2 linked regions of the Styela clava genome follow. Each later gene encodes a partner of the first gene's protein in a complex. Links are inferred from orthologs where the notes say so. Each region holds a gene or a part of one and is shown on either strand. Other genes may lie near its edges.

Region 1 (11,298 bases):
CTCTCTCACTCTGAAGTGAGTGACAAAGCAGTGACCAATAGTGTGCCCACGTTTAAACAAGAAAATTCATTAATATCAAATATAAATAATATTCATGACTGACATACTGCATTGCCCGGGACATTTACTGCAGGTGTGGTGACTCCTGTACGGCCCATGGGCCGGGGCCACGGCCCATCTAATTGAGCCACATGGGCCATGGCCAATAAAGCTATGGGCCGCGGCCCCATCAGGAAAAATTCAATTAACTTACCAAGATTTTAAAATCGCGGGATGCCACCAAATTTTTTTCTCACATAAGCCTTTATATAAAAATAAAGCAAAATACCAAGCTACAGAAAAGGATACTCCTGTAGTATGTGTACCAGGTTAGGGTTAGGACAAAATGTTGTTCAGATTTTTCACATTATATTTCTATTACGAGTTCGGGGACTGTGTTAGCCAAGTGAATAGTCCCTTTACACAACTTGATGAGCCGCGGCCCATAGCCAGATAGGCCGAGGCCCAATTCGATGGGCCGTGGCTACGGCCCATGGGCCGTAGAGGAGTTGCGAGTTAAACTTTGCATTTTCTTTGACGCCATAGAATCTGTTTCGAAGGTAGAAAAAGAGCCGTTTCGACATATCAGTGATTCGAAACGACCAGCACACTACCCACGAACACCCAAAGCACCCAAGGACAATTGCACCGCCGTACATTTGTACCGTGAGCATTTGCACCCTCGGATACGTGCACCGGCGTAAATTTGCACCCAGGTATATTTGCACTCCCAGACATACTCGCACCCACCTACATTTTTTGCACCTATGTACATTTGCACTCACAGTCATGTTCGCTCGCGAATAACTGTGCTTCAGACAAATTTTAATTACTAAGCATAATGACATATTGGAAATGGATACAGATTACAAATTTCAAGTAGCCCATATTTTTGGTTCGGCGGTTGCGTTTTTACTGTCTTTCAAGATATAATCCTATCCCACTTTTGTCGGTCATTTTCATTGAACGAAATAACGCAAACGTAGACGAATTTGGTTAATATACCATGGCAATGAAAACTGGTCATAACTAAATTCATCACGCTTCGAGAATAAATATTAGAAACGGGGACACTAATGAGCGAGAAACGACCTCCACATAGCGCAAGCAGATTTATTTACAGCAGTGGTCGGAAACCCATGGCCCGCGAGCCATATATGGCTCTTTTGGTGACGGCAAATGGCTCCCAGAAAAATCTAATATTCCAAGTCTAAGTTTATTTTTGTTACGAGATTTCAAACTCTTTTATAGCCAAATATTGCAGAAATTGCCAATACGTTTGAGAACGCGCGTCTAGCGCATGCCTATGTTATATAAGAGAATTACCAGACAGGCATTGGGACAAAACTAGGGGATTCTGAAACGTATTTTGTGACATCACAAAGCCATAGCGTCGTAGAGCAATAGAGAAAAGCTTTTCATCCGTCTGTACGCACTGGTTACCATATTTGTCAGATCGGACTATTTGTTGTTAGATCGGACTAGCAAAGCTAGTTTTTAAAATACTACGGAGTTGCCTAAACGAAAGAAGGGTGATGAGCAGGCTTGACCATGGGACATATTTTTTGTCCCATTCCCATCCCATAGCAATTATGCCTGTCCCATCCCATCACATGGGATTCCCATTGGAAAAAATTCAACAAAAATTGTTAAATTTCGGTTTAGCGTCTACTAAACAACTATCAGGACTACATGACCTGATAAAGTGAAGAAATGCTATATGGCTCGCACGGAAGTGTAATTAAAAATATGTACTTTTATGGCTCTTTTGACCAAAAAGGTTTCCGACCGGAAATACTGAGTATGATAGTATATTTCATGGTGTCGGAAAACTCGAAGGATACCAGTTAAAGCTGAACATCGATGAATCTGTGGATCCAGTACATCAAAAACACAGAAGAGTACCATTTAAAACCAGAGCTAAAGTGGAAAAAGCAATTAAAGAGCTATATGAGAATGATATCTGTGAAGATGTGGATAATACACCAACTCCGTAGGTATCTCCTATAGTTGTGGTACCTAAATCCAGTAATCCTGATAATATCCAGATCAGCAGTCGGCTACCTTCCCGGAACGTTTTCCATATTTTTGGGCGAAGCCATGACTGGCACATCATGTTTGTAATGCAACTAAATAATCCTATTTGACTATTTTGCGACGTTAATTCTAGCCTTATATTATCGATTCTTAACCTGGGTGCAATCGAAGCCCTGGGGTTCGGTAGAGCTTTTCCAGAGGTTCAGCGAAAGAACTCTGGAACAGTTTTATACAATGTAAAAATAAATTTATAGTTCACCACAGACTAAATAGTTTACTATATGTACTTTCACAAAGAAATAAGTCTTAGCTATTCCCCCATAGTTCTAACGCTTTAATCGAAACGCTATACATAACTCATACTCCAATAAGTGGGGAACTGGGGATGTCTGTGGACACTTCCCAGTCGTATTGGAAGTTTAGCCGATGCTTTAGAGCAGGGTTCGGCAATCTATGGCCCACGGGCCAGGTCCGGCCCGCGGAACAATATAATCCGGCCCGCGACGCTTCACTGAATTATATTAACAAAACAACTGTATTGACGATTATATTTCTTACGTAACAGAATTTGTTTTGAGACACTAAATTATATTATATCCTAAAAAGTATATAATTCACAATCACTCGTTTAATGATAAATGAATTGATTATAATTATCCTTAGACAAATGACAACAGAACGTGAAAAAGTTGATGCTGATTGCAAATGGTTTAATGGCGCAGAAAATATTCAAATCATCAGTTTTCGCGCGCTGCTTGAAATTTAACTGAAATCTGTGTGAAAAAACGTGATTCATTGGTCATTCCCTCGGTTTTTAACTTTATAAAAATATGTGCGGCACGCGACTTGCAACTTCAATTTTGGCCTGCGAACGACAAAAGCTTGCCCACCCCCACTTTAGAGTCTAAAGTTTAGACAAACTCCTATGGGCTCTAACACTTTCACGTGATTCCACATACCTTGCGAAACTCATCGATGCCACCCCATAACTCAACGTAGGGACGCCTCAACGTAGCTTCCGAAGTGTCAAATATACCGTTAGTTGCAGTGCACTCAACCCATTTACTGCTCCCGTCCCACGTCTAAAAAACAAAAACAATTTCACCAGTGATTTTATTACACCCCACGTAAAATACATAAATGGAGACAATATACATAAATTTAATTGTAAGTGCACAGAGCAATCATTGGAATGAGAATTTAGCAGCACGTCAAGCCGTAAGCACAACAATATAAAATTAAACTTACAGCAGTACTGAATATATATGAATCAATGTTACAGATAAACTGTTTAATAAATTTTGAAAGCATTCTTTAGATAAACTACAATTTTCCATCTTTATTTTTTCGTTCAATGTGTGACGCGTAAGATTTGGTATAAAAATTGTCAAAATAGATATATATTTTATAATTGCAAATTATATACATCCACATTTCACAATACTACCGTACATGAAATACAAGAGAGCTACGCACAAATATATGGACACGTTAGACCAGAGCGAATCAGTCCTTACCGGTACCCTTTGACGCTACCGGTACCCTCAAAAAAGTTCTGAATTTCCAGTAGCAAGAATTTTGCAGAATCAAAACGTACTGCCAGTCATGACACTGACTAAAATCCGTGTTCCCATGGATAAAAAATAATACAGCAAAATTTTAGACGAAATATCAAATTTCATAGAATTCACGCAAAATTTTGAAATAAATAAAAGTAATAGCCTTCTAGCAAAAAAATTAATATGGCAATCCATTTATCAACTGATTAAATGATTCATTACACAGTACCACATTGAAATATATGTGAATAGGTTATTTAGTTTCAGCATGTTCGCTCAGAACAAGTACAAGGATGGCAATTCATTTATCACAGTGAATAGAATGATTCATTACACAGTACTACATGAAAATACATCTGAATCTATGTCCTAGGCTACTCGTGCATATCCACGAGCAATCGGAGAGAAGCATAAAATATGATTGAGCGTATTAGACAATTTTAAGCATGTCAAAGGACCTGAATGACATAGAGATCTTACTGCTAATCGTGATTTAACTACTGAACCCGGGAGCAAAGTGAATATAACCCGGAGAAGTGAGTAATATGCGACACACAAATGATAAAACAAGGACAAAAGCGACCTCTACTGTCGATGATGATTTTTTTTAATGTTTTTTTTTCAATTCCTTGTCTCATCGATATGCTGATTTTTATCCTAAATTGGGATTTAGTAAATATTTTTTTATTTTATTCAAGTATTGAAGCCACATTGTGGAACTATTTCAACCTTACGTTAGATCAGACCTCCTTCACCCTTCATATTTCAGGTTTGACAAGGCCAGTCTGTTCTGTTCTACTACAGTTCGCGTAAACACAGGTCACACTCACAGTACTCGGTACCGGTAGGATAGGATAGGATTTACATATTTACCCCGGGGGAGAGGAAAGCCGATAAGACGGCTTATCCATATGGCGAACCACGGCCTCTCGTCCGGTTACCATTTCAAGTCGGGTATGGGACTAGTTTTTACTGTATTGTTTGTTTTCGGAAGCATGGACTTGGTGGTGGAGGAAGCCGTAACCTACCAGCGGTTACGTGAACCACCCAACGACGGCGAGGAGTCCAGCAATCCTCTCGCACATAACCATCCCTGCATGGGATTCGAACCTGCGAACCCACGCAGAGTAATTAGAGGTGCGGTGGCGAGCGTATTCCTAACGCTTAGCCCGTTGAGCCACACCGCCGCGCCGTAGGCTAGTACCGTAGGCTAGTCTGTGAACGAAGCGTCGTGTTTCGTGTATTTGTTGGACACAATTGGATATTTTCAGATATGGATACCGTATTTTGCTAAGTTGTTGTTGTTGTTGGGTTTCCTGGTGTGCATCTCGCACTCGACCCTGTGTGGGTTGAAACGACTGCAAGCCCCGAACCCTGCAGTAGGCCTATTACTGTATTACAGCATTATTACCGGCATCGTACCGGTACCGTACCGGTACCTACTGTGATATGTTTGTATGTCTAGATTGCGCTTTCCTTTAGTTTATCGTGCAGTGCAATTTGGTGGTTTTGTGTTGATATGGAGGCCCAGACCAGGAAGGGTGTGCACTCAGTGATGTCTTTCAATGTGCATGCATTCTTGGAATCAGAAAACTATGCCATACCGTACTGATTTAAGCAGGCTTAAAGAAGGTATAAGTATACATTTATATTTACATGTATTAAACCTTTATAAAGGTTTTGCCAGTTTCCATGATTTTCCCAATCTCAGAATGTTGTATTTGTTCATTGTTTGTGTTTTGTGTATGATTTTTTTGCGGGAAAATCAAAATATACTTATATTTACAAGCTAAAGTTTATATGCTTGTGCAGTTACCCTAATACTTTAATAAAGCACACAATCTAAATCTGAAGATAATTCTTTTGTCTGAGTTGGTTGTCTAATTATCATTTTTCATTTCACTTCGAAAAATTATATATTGCTGTTTGAAGTTGACTGATGAAATCTTAGAGTACTGGCTGACTGGGCTTCATACAGTCATAGGTATTTTGTAAATAAACAACTAACAGTAAGGCACAGTTTTCAAATTCCAAGAATGTCCCGTCATTTGGTTCAATAAACAAACACATGAATTTATTACCAAAGAAGGACGTCTGATGTCCTTATTGAAAGACAACAATATCCAGACGTCCCCGAAAGAAGGGGTGGCTGTTCATGGGCAAATTGGGATTCTTTGGAAAGAGATTATGTCGCTCAATCTGTTACAGTCTGTCGTACTTACTAATGTCTCGTTGTTTGTTTAATCAAGTTTTCTAGGGTAATCTTTGGTTAATTGTATATCTGAGTTTTTGAAACCTTAATGTTGATGACTGTGTAATATCATCTGCATAACAATTTGTATTCACTACGTTCACTCTTCAATTAAATGAGTTATGGATGGAAACGGATAAATAAAATTTGGAATAGGCAGTCTTGGGATATATCCTCAATGACCTAATGATGCCGGCAGAAACAAAGGCCCGAAATTGGGCTGTTGAATCGGATAATGCAGTCAAAGCTCTTGTCGATATTCAAAGTATGATAGATATTATGTCCGAGCGACTTGTTGCACTTCGTGATTTGCGACTCCAGGAATTTATAAAAGATGAGATTCGATTATTGGAAGTATGCAATTTATTTTAATTTAGTAACTTATTATTAATGGAATTTGTAAATTTTTTTTTCTTCAAAATTTCTTTATTTGAATGCATTGACAATGATATAACAAATTTTTTCAGTCATTGCTAAATCTTTTGACTGTCTTTTTTTACATTTTACATACTACAAGATTTTAGACCGTGTGTAATTTAATAAAAAGACTTTCCTGAATACATTCTAATAAAATAGAATTGACTATATTCAAGCAGACACTATAGCACAAGGAAAATTCTCTCTTAGGTCAGGCATAACCTACCCTGTTTATGGCATTCCGGGCATATGTAGACCAGATTTTAATTCAGTTTTAAGAATTTTCATATTTTTCAATATCATAAAGTGAAAATAATTCCCTCCTTCCCTGTCAATGTTTTGAGGATGAAATTTGTATAAATTTTTATGTTAATTGATATTAATTTTTAACACATTGTCTATATTATGTTATATCTAGGGCAAACTCATCAAACATTTCTGGAGGCAGCTCACAACCAAATGCAAAGTTCCAAAAAAACACTGGACAGTTGATTTTCAGACGTACCCATCATTATCACAATGGCTTACTGTTGTTGGCATAAATAAAGATGTTAATGAGGTATATTCAGTTTGAGGAGTATAGAGATAAAAAAAATATGAGTATGATGATAAAATGGACTAAATTTAAAAAGAAAACATAGGCTTGACGTTGACGCAAATAGGTTTTTTGTGAAATGAAGAATGAAAATTAAATTGAATGAAGCAAAATTTGGAAATATTTAATAATGTTCTTCAATGTTTATCTGTAAAATTCTAGAATATTGAATTGTTTGACTAATGAACTCCATTGGTTTTTCATTGGTTGTTAATTTTAGCTCTCCAGGCTAATCTGGTCTGATCAATGCTCGTGTAATTTTTGAATATTTGATGAAGATAATTACACCATATGGCGTTATAAGGAATAATCATTACCACAAGCAAAAATAACATTTCTTCATACTTAAGATTTCCACTTATGTTTATATTATTTTTTATATTTATTATATGATTTAGTATGAAATCGTGATTTTATGATATGTTTTCAACGTTCTTCGACTTATTTTGTTTTTAGATACTAATGAGAAACATAAACTCGGTGGAAACATTGTTAGAACAAGGTGAACATGAGGTCTCAACAATTTTGCTTGAGAGCGGAGGTAACTCTGAAGATAAAAGAAAATTGTGGACAGCTTTATGTCAATTGAAAGAGTTTAAGGGTAAGATTCTATCAATATGGATCATGTTAATTAAGGGTGATTATCAGTCAATTCAATTCAATATTGTATTTTTAAGAAATTTTGAAACTCTATTTCCGACCCGCATTTATATATATATATATGCTACTAAGTTTCCATCAATTTGGATCATGTTTAGGGTGAATATTAGTTATTCCATTTTGGTAATTTAAAGAAACTTCCGAAACTCTATACATTTTTTGTCCCGTCCTGTATTTATAATATTGGATAAAAGTTTTGTTCCATATCAAGTTATTAATTCCTAATATTATTGTTCGATAGTATCATTATTTATGAAAAACGCAGCATGAATGAAACGAGAAACTCTATAGTTTTAATTTCTGCTGAACCCACATATACTTTTTGTGAAATGATTAATTGTTATTAAGCCTTAATTGAACAAGTATTATATTTTTGTGGAATGTGCCATAGACAATCAAGATAATACAGAAGGAGTATATTGGGATTCATGGTGTAAAGAATCCGCCGAAGGTTTTCAAAATGGCCTCAAAAACTCCATACAAGATGAGGCATCTAATAATTCACAGCCCAAAGCAGGTAGGTCTATTTTGTTTCAAATCCAAACTCTCTATTGTTAATGTGTTGATATATTTTGAGGTCTTTTCACAAACATACATTCTGATATTTGCCTGGTTCATCCAAAATATGTTGTCCTATTAACCGCAAAATGTAAAATTTTCCAACGGTCTGTGTAGCATTTCGAAACTGTCTGAAGTGTGATGTTCTACATAATATGACTCTGAAATGAATAGCGATTCATCAATATTATGCAGAATAATATTATGGTCTTGCTAGCTATCAAGTCCTAAAAATAGATAAATGAGATATACACTAATGAAGAATACTCATTTTAAGTACATTTCTGAAAGGAGTTATGTTTATCAATCTGATGGATTTAATTTGGTAATGGCTACCCAGACAAATATTAAAAGAAGGATCACCTTGGAATGCGCTAAAGGATTTATTTTTAACATACAGACCTAAATTTGTGCTGCCTGTGACGGACAGCTGTGTTGTATATTATTATAGTATCTATGCTCTGACACCAGGCAGGTTTCATTTCAAACCCCAAAATATACCATGTTTTATTATTTTTTGTTATAATAGGGCTACTGATACTGCCTCTTATTCATAAATTATTTATATCTGGCTAGATAATCTGATGATATTAGGTTGAGTGTGGATCATCTGCTGTTATTTTGTAAGATTTTATTTAAATGTGAGACATCATCGCGCTTACAAATGATGAAATTTACTACCAAACAATAAATGTTCTTTCAAAACATTTTGATGTATCATAGAAGATGTAATTCGAAACACATAATGTTGATTTTTGACATTATCATAGTAGTGTAAAATTTCTATGAAGTTAATATGGTTGGGATGTTGCTGTGCAAATTTGTGATATCTGCTATTAGTGATTTAGGAATTGATATCTTTAGCCCAATCCAATACTGTATTACTTCATTGTACCAGTTTGTCAAAATATTTTTTCTCTTGAGGGAAGGCAGTGTACTATTTAGTCATTAAGCTTGACCATAAATTCTATATCTTTGACTTTTACAATTACAACCCCCAACAATGACATCTCCTCAATCATAATACTGTAGAAATTATAACACTAGGCTTATAATTGCCTCAAGACATTAACATTACTTTGATAGGCTATAGAACAAAAGGCATTAGTTTATAATACTTCATTACAGCCATATTTTAGGGATTTACAGAACACTAATTACATGATGTTATCTCCCCTTGAGCATTCAGATATGTAATTAGAATATTATGGTTTTGCCTGGTAATAAGTTTTTAATAGGCTCAATACAGATATATGTGTGGTATATATATATAGGTCTCAAGCATCAGATGATATAAAATGATTGAAACGATCTGAAATTATAGACCATTTCTTTTTTTCTTTTTTAGATATTAAATATATAAATATAATAAAGACTTTTTATAGCTATTTTTTTATTTTGGTCGGTTATATTATGTACCAGATAATAAAGGAGCCGACAGCCATCTTGTTTTTGTCTGCTGATCATTGGTGGTCATGGTTTACTATTTTTTTTTGCGCTTTCGAAATTCAATTAAACTCGCAAAATTTACAATCCTGTTGAGTTGATCGTAATAGCTATTCAACCTAGTTAACTGTAAAATACTAATTCAAAGTTGCAAACTTGCAATAAAGCTGTTGACTTTGGGTGAACTAATCGCTGGGGTTCTGAGTTGAATAGTAGATATGCTGAGTTTGTATTATGTATATCGTATAATATATTTCGTAAATCGCTCTTGTAGAATCAAACTTGAACTACTGATTTGCCTGATTCAGGGAAAATTGTTTGTTTAATTTAATTACCGGTAGCTTTTTTAGTACAATTCATCTTTATACAAAAATTAATAATAAACGTATGATTTCTAAAACAAACCCAAATACACATTAAGTGTAATGCCATCTAATTTTAATAATTTCCAACAATTTAACGTCAAATATAAATAAAAACATAGATGAACCTCAGTCCTCAAATACAAATGCTTCATCATCAATTACCAAATAGCCTCCTCATTGATAAGCCCACCTTTTTATTATTACAGTATTTGTGAAACCTCTATTATAAGTATACTATAGTCTATAGGTACCATGATTGTGTGCCATGTATATAATCAATTTTTGAACCATATTAGTATCGTAATCTCGAATCTTATATCCTTAGAGTAAAAATACGTACCAACAAAAGTAGCTAATAGCATTATATCTAATTTTGGTTTGATTTTGATAAAATAAACATCATACTCTTTGGTGATTTGGAGAACTAATTTTTTTTTTCATTTGAATACATGTGGATACACTTTAAAATTCAAAATTTTTAACGGAATCTCATAGCATTAAATTAAATAAGTAATTTCGATGCGAAGTTGGTAGTCGAAGACTCGAAGCTGGAGTCATTTTCCAGATGATTTTAAAGGAGATTGAAGTTGAAGTCTAGTGTAAAAATTATTTCACTCCACAGCACTGCTTTGTACTTAAACCTTTTTCATGGGTTAGTTTTAGGGGGTATACTTGAGTTAATATATTTTTATTTGATTGCTAATTAGGGATGCTTTTATATCAGTGCTGTGTTCTGAATTTGAATATTGGCCTTGCACATGTGAAGATGCGTGAATCGTTCATTTTCTAATTTTTTTGTCATAATTCAGAAGTGGATCACAATGAAAATTTTCGAAGAATTGATCAAAATTGTGCAAACACTTCAACAGATGAACAAAGACATGCGAACGATTCTCGACCCCAACGGAAACATGAAATTCTAGTCCATACAGCCTCTGGAAGGACTACAGCGCCTTCATGGGCTGATGGGGATGGCCAAATTCAGTCTCCCCCAAGTCCATCACAAAGCTCCAGAAGTTCTCTATCGTCGTGTGGTCCACCTTCTCCACCATATGGTGCTAAGCTACATGGTTTTCCTCAAAACGCATATGATGGAGGCACTCGAACTCCTCCTGCGAATATGTTTACCCCCTCTTACATGCGTCATTACGCTCAAGATCATCAAAATGTCTCAAAAACTCGTTCAGGCCAGTCGTCATTGACGAACACTCCGCCTCCAGTTCGAGCAACAAAATCTTCAGAATCATCGATTCCACCTCAAAATAAAGCCGCAGCAAACTTGCTTCTACCGTTTGGCCCTATGAGGACCGCTCGCTCATACGAATGGCAAGTTGGGAACCATATAACTAATGTAGGTGATGAGAGTTTGAC
Region 2 (11,802 bases), on another chromosome or scaffold:
GTACTAAATATCTACTATGATAATAGTTATCCTTTAGGATAATAAGATTTTTTACTTACTGACATATAGGACCTCGTACCAACAAAGGTGTTAGCCATAGAATCAATAAGTTGTCCGCTGACACCAAAATCACATAGTTTTATCTCTCCTCTTGAGTTGACTAAAATATTCGATGGTTTTACATCTGAAATGAGATGAAAAAAGTATTTAAAACCGAGCCTACAAAACACTTTTGTTGCTTTTGTTATGCATCATTTCAGGACTGTGGAAAGGAGTTGCCAGACTTGGGGTACTGAGGAAGAGAGATGACAATAGCTTAAAATTTTGCCCACCCAGACTGACGAGCCATGTAAGTGTGACGGAATAAATAAGCTATAAATCTTCACGAATTAGGGTAAATAAAAAGGATGCAGTAGGAGATTTTTCAGAAACCATTGAGAACCGATAGACTTCACATGGCAAGAATGCGTAAGATACGAACAAAAAAGAACGAGAAGAGAGCGTTATGCGGATGTTACCAAAACTTTTTAGGCACTAAATTGAAACTTCAGGGCTGCGCGTGACCGCACACGAGGCGACACAAAAAGGTGTTAAAAGCATGTAATCGAATCGAGTGATAGAAAAAAAAAAAGTGAAGTATCGTTGACGTATCCATAACATGAAAGTATTACAATTACAATCATAGTATAACAAGCCTATTGCACGTTGCACCATACATATTTCAATAACTATGTAGTGCATGTGAGATTGGTTAGAAGCAGAAATTTATGGCTGCATCAGGCAGGTCAGAATGAATCACCCAACAGGTCGGATTTTGCCTGCGGGCCATGGTTTGCCCATGTCAGGGTTAAGCCCTACAAAATTAATTGGTCCGCATCAGTGGGATGGATAATAATTAATTAGTGGTACAATAGGTGCCATTGTGTTTCTTACAATTAGCACAAGTCCGCAACATCAGAGACAAACGATGCCGGGGTCTATGCCTATATTGTTTATATTCATATTCACCCATGTTTTTCTATTTAAACTTCTATCAATAAAAAGAATATTTACTTCATTTTGGAATTTAGGCGGAACATATTATTCACTGGACAAATTGTAATATTCGACTAAAATCAGAAATTTTGATTTAAGAGGGCATACTTGATTAGCCCCAATCCTGCATGTACTCCTCTGTTCCATAGTCAATATGGACTTGTAACTTCATGAAGGGCTATGAAATGTGAAGACGTCTTATAAAATGACTAACCATGTAAATATGTGATATTATATTACTATGAAAAAGAAAGTAATATTTTCAATCAATTACTCAACAGAAACTTAGCAAACAACATACATTAAACAACACAAACCTCTATGGATTATGTTATGTGTTTCTCTTAAATATCTCAATCCGTGAAGTACCTGATAAAATATGATTGGAAACAATCAAAAATTGTTATATTAACAAGAAAAATCAGCGAGAACATTGCAATATCAGTAACTGCTTTTTCTACTTAAATGAAAACAATTGTAGCACTGGTATTGAAAACTTCAATTCTAATTAACACAAGTAATAATTATATTTTAAATTAATATAAAAATTTTGAGTCTCAATATCCAGATTATTTTTGCCATTCAGAAATAAATCCTGGATTCAATATTAGCAAAATATGTCGATGATTCTTCAATCTAAAAGCTCAACAATTACAACTTGAAACAATACAATATTATTTGAAAACCTGAAAATTTAATCCTTATCTTTTAAAAAAAAGATTAGCCTCACAATATCCCGTGTGGTTTATTGAAAATGGTAGCATTGTTTTCTCCTTAGAAAATATTTATTCAAAGCAGGATCATGCGTACTCACTCACAGGAAATTAATCCCTGAGCAAAGGTACCGACTAAAGTGCTACTAAGAGTATGAATCATTATTAAAGTTTTAGAATTGTATTTGAGTAAAAACTGACTGATGAGCTGAGTGAGGAAATACCGAGTGAGTTCCACATAACTGAGTGAGTTTCTCGGAAAAAATTTGGACATAAAATTTATTACAAAAAATATTATCCTACCGCAATGCTGACTTTTCCTAGAATAGGTTCAGGAATTTTTCCAGCTTTTTTCAGAACTTGATCAAGGGAACCGGCATCCTAAAATGAATAAAACAATACCATTAAATGTCGAATCAAAAAAATAACAATATTGACAAATGACAATATCCAAGTTTACGTCCAATTTTAATCAACTCCGTCATACCATATTTTCCATGCATATGCTGATTTCGCTGTCATTATGAAACGCTCCGTAAAATCCAACAATATAAGGGCTTTTGCAGTCGTGAAGAATTTGCAATTCTCTGATAATTTGATTTTGTACTGCTGGTTTCAGTTCTAAATGGATGAGCTGAAATATAAAAGTAGAATGATGATTCATAATAATTCAAATAAATCAGTTGAAACAATACTTTATTTATATTATTTTCCAGCAAATAAAATGGAAATCATAAATATAGAGATAAAAAAATATGGATCCAAACTATATGAATAGATCATTGCATGACATAAATTAACATAGCGTGTAACAAACATTAATTTTCCCATCAAAAATATAATACAGATTTAGTTGGCGCTCCAGAAGTAGCCTATGTGTACCAATATGGAGGTAATTTTGTTCGCCTATTTTACACCAAGTTGTATAAAGGGACGGAAGCTTATGGGCAGAGGTATATTCACTTGGCTAACACAGACAGTCCCCGAACTCGTAATAGAACTAAACTAGGGAAAATCGGAATTAAATTGTGGCCTAACCCTAACCTGGTACACACACTACGGGAGTACCCAAAAATACACGGTGACAAAAAATGGGATAGCAATAGGAATTTTTATCATACTTTTCGTGCCATCTCCAGACCAGATTCTTTATGCTGTACTAAATGAACAACTCCGCCATTTCCAACACCGATTTCAGCCTTCTCTAAAAAATCAACTTTTTGAGCACTGTCCAACATTCCGACCTAAAAAATGTAACAATTATGAATGGAAAATAATTCAATCATTCAAAATGATACATATCTTGGGTAAAAAGTTACGAATTTTCTCCTGCACTTCTGTTGAATTTCTTATTATAATTCTATATCTGACATGGGCAAACTGTGCCAAATCCGACCCATTGGGTAAATCAATTTGGCCCACATGATGAGGCCACAACCAAACTTTAATACATCAGCTGAAAAATAAGTAATTTGTTGAAATTGCAATTAAGTTTAGTTTGGGCACGAGGTTTATTGTTTTCCACTTTTGCTTTCGTAACACTGAAAATATTGTTCATAAAATATAACACTTACATGATGGCCTGCCTGTCCGGGTGGGCAAAATTTTTGGCCCATGGCCCAAAAACCCATTTTACAAATTGTGTCAATAGCTCTTAGCATTATAGAGGTCACCCTAAGCTTTGCCCATCATTCTCTAGGATTTTTGAGTGAGTTCTCATAACCTTACTTTGAGCAAATATTAAAAAAAAAATTAAAACTAGAGTACTAAATGAGAAACTGAAAGTGACAAACCGTCTTTTTCTGAGACAGAAAAGTATCTAATCTCTTTCTTTGTACATCGTCAATTTCAAGTTCTTCGATACTTTTTCCAATTTTATTTACAATGTTCCTGAAAGAAATCAATGATTATGAATCAAATGATTATATTCAAAAGCTAAAGATAGGGTGTTGCCAAAAATATTATATAAAATATAATACAACTCATGCATAAGACCAGAGTTTCTCAAACTTTAAGGGGCTCGTACCTCTATTGTGAATCTTACTTTTGAAAGACCCATATCATATGCCGAATAATTTTTTGTGCCTAGCCAACAAGGAAGAACATTATTTCATTTACAACACTACAACAGAAACGACATTAATGTGATGAATGAGGTGACTCCTCGACCTGTTATTTGGCATCAAATTGTTAGGAGCTAAAATACTGACTCACATATATATTTCATTGCAAAAGGCAATAGCCTAGAATTTTAATTGCCTTTTTCGACAGTAATGGATATCCGTCTACAACACCCAACCAAAAAGATACAATGACTTTTCGATTCAAATCAATCATTGAAGATCGAACAGTCTTTTCCCATATCGTTACAAACCCCTGTGCAGTCATCACAGAACTCCAGGGGTTCGCGGACCCTAATTTGGGAAAACCTGCATTAGACAACTTAATGGTTTCATAATGGATATTTTGTTATTTTCACTGTTAGTGTAAAATTTGAAATTCACTTACTGTGTGATATCTCCCTTTTTCACTGGCTCAGCTGGAGGTGGAGCAGATATCCCAAGCTTCAACGGAGGAGGACGTTTGCTCTTGGAAGCCATTTTTTTTATCAATTGACACTCTACTCTATTATCCCCAGTTAAATTAGACGGTCAATTACAAACAAGTCTTATTACAGAAACCTAAGAAACAAAAAAAATGATACTCTGTGAGAGAGAGTAATTGCTCAAAGGTGTAAAAGTGAAAAAAAAAATTTACGATCCTTCAGAATCAATTTATGAATATTTAGTTGTTTCAAAATCTTAGAACTAATTCAGTCCATGAAGTTTGATTTTTAAACAGACAAACAGATTTGGCAGTAAAATTGTGTCATCATGCTACATTTCGGTCACAATTGGCACAAAAAACAGAAAAAATGCACTGATAGAAGGGGTTAGGAACAACTGCATATATTAATATACCCCAAGCATTCAATTAATTTGAATAATAATCTTTTAAAAAATTAGGGATATTCTATATTCGAACTTTCATGTATTAGGATCAAAATAATAAACTTCAAATATTGGTATTTATGTATAACAACATACTTAATCTAGTTGTTCCCCAGATAGCATTTTTTATGAAATTTTAAATATTTCATCAAATAGAAATTAAACAGATAACAGCTTTTAAAAGTAAAAATTCATTTCTACTGATATGAAAGGAGCTACTGTAACTTATTCTAGAAAAATCTGGATCCTTCCGGTTTGGTATTGCCTACCCAATTTATTAAAACCTGCGCGAGGGGGTGGCCTTTGGTTTGAACCTGAAATTTTATTCTGTGATGCCATCATAGTTAGGCCTAATGCTTTAAACACTAGGCCAACACTCCCACGTATTAAAAGTTATCTATTCTGAAATTCTTCTCCAATTAGTCATAATGATGACTGTAACAAAGAAAACAAATTTACTCAAACATGATTTTTGTCAATTTGAATGATTCGATAAACCATCAAAGCTATTCTATGCAGTAAACAACATCGTTACAACGTTCTCTGCATCTTATTATAAATGTTTTAGACTCTGGTTTTCATATCAATACCAATACGTGAATGAAAATACAAATCTCAAACACCAGTTTGCATAACACCTTTACACTTTGGATTATTATGACAATTTTGCATCAAATGAACACATTTGTTGGTATTTTGAAAACTTTTCCATTTTCCAACCAGCATAATATAATTTGGAACAATTTTCAGCGTTAAAGAGTTCAAGAAATAACAGAAATTAAAAAAGAAAACAGGCAGTGAGTATTCCTTAAATATTAAAAACTAATATTCTGACAATACTATAATTTAATCATTCCCGAAACTAGAATCCGAAGATGAACTTGATGATGAATCAGAGGACATTATTTCAACCTCTTCATCTCCTTTTTGACCATATCCAAATTTTCCGTCCATACCAGATGCTGATTGGTTGCCCCATTGTGGTTGTTGTATATCATTAGATCGCGACATACCAACTAAATTTGGTACAGAAAGTCCTTCCGTTCCTAACTGCGGCGGTGGCTTAATCGTTGAATTTGCATCTGTCATATTGTTAATCTGTCCCAGCCAACCACATCTCATTTCGATGTCCTGTGGATAGGGTCGTCTTGGGTCACCTGGCGCCCAATTTAATGGAGCTGCCGTGGCACATGCAGCGCTTATTTTGTGAGCATATTTAATGATATCTTCAGAAGGAACAGCACCTTTTCTTGCTCTTCTGATCGATTTGAGTTTTTCTTTGGCTTGGTATAGAGCAGTGGATAAAAGATGTTCCGCATCTTTTAGGTGTTTTTGTAAAACCTCAATTTCTTTATTTTTTTGTGCGATTTCAGCTTTGTATAATTTGATATCACGATGAAGTTGTTGTTGGTCGCGTGCCATTGCCATTTTCTCTTCTAAATCTTTGTTTTTTTGAAGCAAAAGATCAGTAAGCTGATTCACGTTCATTTTTTGTGGGATAGCTTCATCATTTTGAGAATTGAAAGTTTGACTGGTTGAAGATTGCCTTGATGACTGTTGGGAAAGAGTTTCAAACAATTGCCGAGTAATAAGATCAATGTCTTCAACAAGAGCCATTAATTGTTGTTTAGTGCTGATGCTTCCTCGTTGTAATTCCATTTCCAATCTTTTTTCGATAATAACTTTTGAAGAATAAATTTGAATATCAATATTATGATATTGAAATACCCTGAATTAAAATTATGCCTGCAATGAAGAAGTTTCTTATTGTTAATAATACTGTAATAATAGTTTACAACAAAGACGGAACTTTATCGCAAATAACCGCAACCCAATATATGATCTTATATTCCTGACAATTTAAGTTTGACAATTTAGGAATAAATTATGTTTATCTTAATTAAAGGAAGGATTACAGATGTAAGTTTTTAAAAAATTTAATTTTGATTGGAATCTGATTCTATTTACATTAGTATAATATATCGTATCACCGTTGACTTAATACAAATTTAAAATAACTGAAGGATAAATTGTGATAAAATAATAATGCATAATGTTGTTGGAAAAAATACATTCAATGAACTCAATTTATTTAGGCGGAGAACTTTTATTTTCTGTTTCATAGCTGCATAGAGCTATCAATCAATCAATTTTATTTTGGCCACTCTGAACGAAACAAAACATCAACAAACGGACAAACAAAATGCAGAGGAGCTACACTTACTTACATTTTCATTCCAAAACAATAGCGAACCTATACCGTAGTCTAGCGCTCATTTCTTCTAAAATTGACCTAAAAAATAATTCAATTTTGTAAACCCAGAGACCCTAGTTATTTAAATGTAGGCTACTTACTGACTTAAATAAAAAAAATACCTGAATACTGTTTGCAACATGATTCTTAAGGAAGCGGACCTATGTTTTAATAAGGAACACCAGTATCCAATGATTTTGTAAGTTTTAGGGTAATGACATTATATTAGTACGTTAAAGAATCGTTCATATAACTTAATGAGGGTCTAGTATAGTTTAGTACCACAAGTGCCGGTACTTCCGGTGGGCGTAGCATAACGATTTTTGCATATGTTACTCCTAACCCTCACCTGATTATGCCATCCAAAAATTACGTCACTACGACGTCACCATCACGTCATAGGGATTGCCAAAGTATAATTACCATCGCCCGAAATGGCATCTGCGCCGCCGATAAGAACTTGTTAAGGCCGGCGATCTCTCTCCTATCGTGATCGTTGCGACGAGAAAACGAGAGAAATAGCTTGCTCGATTTCGGGTTATCGTCTGCGCGTTTTGGACGACCATCCGCATACTTCGGTGGGCCTTATTACGCCACTGTGACGTCGGAATGACGTAATTTTTCGGTGACGTAGTCAGGTGGGGGTTAGGATTGACATATGCAAAAATTGTTGAGCCAGGCCAACTAGAAGTGGATGTGGTACTAAACTATACCAGACCCCTTAATGACATACCGTAGGTATCGGTATTTGTGAACTTCAATACCGGTACCGTACAATATTCGTTACGTCAGTACCGGTACCCGGTACGTTGATGACAAAGACACAGGTCAGCACGTAGAGTAGCCTATAAAATATCGTAACAATACAGCAATACCGCCCATTAGTCTGATTAGTTAACCAGTCGTTTGTTTTCCATGTTTGATGTGGGGTTGAATTGTCCGGATACCGAAACCGGTTAACCCAAATGTATTTTGCTACCTGATATCCGGATAGCATTGTGACGGTTAACAGATTCAGATACTGTATTTATTTCGTCGTGCATGAAACAATGTACAGACAAAATTAAACAAATATAATAACCGGATATTAAAGTAGCATAAATAATCCATATGCTCATTAATGATTTTTTATATTTTTGTTACGTAGCAGCTGCCATTCCCCAAAGCATATATTAACAAATTTTATTCACACTTCTTTGCTTATACCTTTGCCATCCAATCAATCATCATTTATTCGTCAACACAATTTAAACATGGTATGATATATGAAAAAATATCACAAATACAAGTGGAAACTAACTTAAATTGTGTGACAGGAGTCGCGAGGGACCTCAAGAGGTCTTCAGGCAGCGACACCACCAGCGCCATCCGTAAATGCTGGAGTGTACTTCCACTATCACATCACAAAATAAATGTGATTTTTATGTAAAAGTAGAGCGCATTCGCTTCACCTTTGACTGATAAGCATAAATGAATTTATTCTCCATTCATCATTAGCCTAATGAGATGGGTGAGCAAAATAAAACGTCACCAGCTAGCTTATCAATATCCGGCTTCATTTTAGTCAGAAACGGTCTTATGTTTCTTCAACGATGTCAAATGCGGTTACTCTTGTAATCTAGAAGCGCGGTCATGGCACAGGTATGAGCTGTTAAAGGATTTTTTTTTACATGATCCCGCACGTGAGGGTATTTTAATTTGGTTTAATTCTGAACAATTATTATGGAACACTGAACATTTGTTTGAGTTCAAAATCTTTTTGCAATTTGATGTTCCTTTTCAAGAATCCCACGTCCGTGAATAATACTAAACTAGAATTGGAAAAATGTTCGTCCAGGCATATTTCACTGATACACGACGAGCCTATTATTGGAACCAGACAGTGTTATTGGAACCAATCCATCTTTATCAGATTGATTTATTCTCCATGAAAGTAAACTGCTGGAATTCAACAACAGTATCAAAAGGGTGTGAAATCAGTCAGTCAGTAGTTTATTTTTTCACCAAACTTAATATACACTTGGTTCGAACATTGAATAGGAGTAAACGTAGTAATGGCATTCCAAGTTCCGCGAAAATCAAATGCTGGTCATCGAGCAGCGATACCCGTCTTGCTGGTGTATGGCAGATAGATATCCATGGAAAGCCATATCTTACTTCAGTGTGAAGTAAGGCTAGTAAGCGCTCAAATGCATTCATCACTTTCATTGCATAATTATTTAAGTGAGCGAGTGTTTAGCACGCGTTTATTTTATTTACTGCCTTCATGACTATGACTGAAAAATCAACTCGTTTCTGTACTTTATCATTGCTCAATGAAACAAGAGAGCTACGCCCAAATATATGGACACGTCTGTTCGCAGTACAGTACGGTTTACCGTACCGTCAGATCACATTCTACAAATATATTCACACCAAGCGAAGCAGTACAGTAGGGCACAAAATGGCGTCCGATGTCCGCAGAACGTTCGATGACGTCATAGCAAACAAAAACAAATCTTACAGAGCTATCAGAAATATTTGAAATAAATAAAAGTAATAGCCTTCTGGAGAAAAATTTCATCTTTAACCACTAAAAATTTCAAAGCAATTGGTCCAGTGATCAAAGAGAAAAGCGGCTTTTTAATATTTCCACTAGGTGTCCAAAAAGTGTCGAACAACAACAAGAACAAGAACAACATAAAAACAAAACGATTGTTATGTCCACTAAACGTGTCCAATAACTACAGACGGCGCCTTTTCATGCAAAACAGTATCAGAAAATTTCTTGGTGCTCCTGAAGTATGTGCACCAAGATGTCGCTAACCTGAACTAGAGATGTGCCGATGTATCGGTATCGGCAACATCGGCCAATTTCTCAGTATCGGTAGTGTATCGGTATCGGCTAAGTTTAGACCAATATTTCCGATATATTTAGCTTCTCAATATGATTCAGAATGTTTTAAAAAATAGGTTAGAATACTAACCTTGAAATTATTTTTGAGCCATTGTACGCCCCCACACCCGCTGACGTGTTTTAAGCAATTTATCAGTCAAACTGGGTCAATCAATTTGAGTATTTTCGCTGCCGAATTTTTATATTAAAATTTTTAATATTACATGGTAATTATGAAGAATTATATCAATCGAATATTAGTGGATGTTCCGATGTGTATAATTTAAAATACGACGTTATATTGGCACAAAATCCTACGCACGTTACTCAATGTATCAGTTTCATGCGATAAGTAGGCTAAACATTTATTTATTTTACCACCAACAGTAGCCAAATCCTACTAGTTTTCTAATAAAGAGCCGAGATTACTAGCGTCAGTGCTCAATGCATCTGAATCAATTTGCGCATTTGGATCCCAAACATCTACTTCTTATTAATATGTGATATTTCTCTTTTTTGATCCGAAATAATGCGCACTATTAACAATGCTTAAAGACTATTGTTTTAAACCGTCTGCCCCGCACAATTGAGGTAATAATTACATAGTATCGGCAATATCGGTCGTTTTCGAATATCGGCGTATTGGTATCGGCTTTTTTAGCTGGTATCGGATCGGTATCGGCGACAAAAGTGGTATCGGTACATCTCTAACCTGAACCCAAACCTGGCACACATACTATGTTCAGGTTGTGCGCCATCTTGGTGCACATACTCCAGAAGGTCCAATTCCTTTACTGATGGTGGGTTAATTCGTCGCCAATAGTAGGCTTCTTGAATTTGCTTATCTGCATGTAAAGCATCATTTATATTGTCACAAAGTGTTTTTGCCGACTTTGGGAATCGCTGCTGTAGACGAATTCAGTTGAAAAGCTTTGAAGTTGTGCGTGTGGAGATGGGGCAGTCTTGAAGATGGCGGTTTTGGTGATATATAACTATTGTTTTCTGTCGCTATTTTTGCCATTGGGATTCGGGTATATTGCCAGGAAATGACGCAGATGGGGGTCGTGTTTTTGTTCGGGACTGGACACATCGCCAATACTGCACGATCGACGCCACGGAGGCTATGCCTATGTATCATCTGGCCTTGTCGGTGGTGGATGGCCTCGATTCTATCCTACATTTGGAATTTGTTTTTGTCTGGCGCGGCAGGGTGGTACAGTTTGATATTGCTTTTTATCTGGTGCTAGTACACTGTGTTTTTCGCAGACATATATTATGCGATCCACGGTCTCGTTTACTTGACGCCACGATTGATGGGGTGCTTCATAGTCAATGCATTGCAGAAACATTAATATATCCCGCTCTTCTGAAACCCTGGCTTCCACAGTTTGTTTGTTTCCGGCACTGGAGAGTAGATGCCAATTTCTTTCTTTTCTTCCTTCCTCATTATTTGCCATACCCACCTTTTTAAGTATCTAGAATAGATTCTAGTCTAGAACATTGCTATCGACATTCAGTGGACTTTGCCTGCGCTGTTTACTAGCTATTTCTGGTTACTCCTCATCGAAAAATGCGTGTTTTTCTTCATGTTCAAAATTTCATTTATATATGCTCATACAGTGTTTGTGTAAATATTCATGATAAAACTGTGTCGTGATTTTTGATCAATTCACCATGTAAATCTCGTGAAATTCTCTCTTGATTCTCTAACAATTACCAGTAACTATCCGTAATCCGGTTAACCGTGAAGTAAAAATATATACAAAATAAACGGATATATCTGTTCTCCGGATAGTAAAAATTATAAATATCCGAACTAACCTTAGTATAATGATAGAGGAAGCAGTAACCGATCAGCGGTTACGTTGACCACCCTACTACGGCGAAGGGTCCAGCATATGGTGGTGCGCCATATGATTATGCCGTATAATCGAC

Evidence for each region.
Region 2: the proteins of uncharacterized protein LOC120329277 (region 1) and dual specificity mitogen-activated protein kinase kinase 1-like are in contact, whole or in part, in a cryo-EM structure (PDB 8BW9), measured with the Drosophila melanogaster proteins. The link is inferred for Styela clava from reciprocal best matches to the Drosophila melanogaster genes ksr and Dsor1. Residues at the interface, in NP_001287177.1 of Drosophila melanogaster: Gln767, Tyr828, Asp830, Met831, Gly832, Leu833, Gly834, Val835, His837, Arg849, Ala850, Leu851, Gln852, Asp888, Gln889, Pro890, Ala891, Glu892, Ser893, Ile895, Trp896, Gln897, Gly899, Arg900; in NP_511098.1 of Drosophila melanogaster: Gly98, Gly99, Lys123, Asp236, Met238, Ala239, Asn240, Ser241, Phe242, Val243, Gly244, Thr245, Ser247, Met249, Arg253, Leu254, Gln255, Gly256, Ala310, Met311, Ala312, Ile313, Phe314, Leu317, Asp318, Val321.

The regions. Positions count from the first base shown.
Region 1 is NC_135261.1:19,342,653-19,353,950, forward strand, and holds the start of uncharacterized protein LOC120329277, read left to right. Parts: upstream 1-5,876; 5' UTR 5,877-6,072; coding exon 6,073-6,240; intron 6,241-6,721; coding exon 6,722-6,862; intron 6,863-7,354; coding exon 7,355-7,499; intron 7,500-7,949; coding exon 7,950-8,075; intron 8,076-10,736; coding exon 10,737-11,298.
Region 2 is NC_135264.1:5,105,541-5,117,342, reverse strand, and holds the start of dual specificity mitogen-activated protein kinase kinase 1-like, read right to left. Parts: upstream 4,480-11,802; 5' UTR 4,349-4,479; coding exon 4,257-4,348; intron 3,639-4,256; coding exon 3,542-3,638; intron 2,993-3,541; coding exon 2,870-2,992; intron 2,383-2,869; coding exon 2,236-2,382; intron 2,130-2,235; coding exon 2,052-2,129; intron 1,405-2,051; coding exon 1,353-1,404; intron 185-1,352; coding exon 60-184; intron 1-59. Other genes in the region: mediator of RNA polymerase II transcription subunit 4-like, read right to left, coding at 5,585-6,397. UniProt on the Drosophila melanogaster protein: Required downstream of Raf in the sevenless (sev), torso (tor), and Drosophila EGF receptor homolog (DER) signal transduction pathways.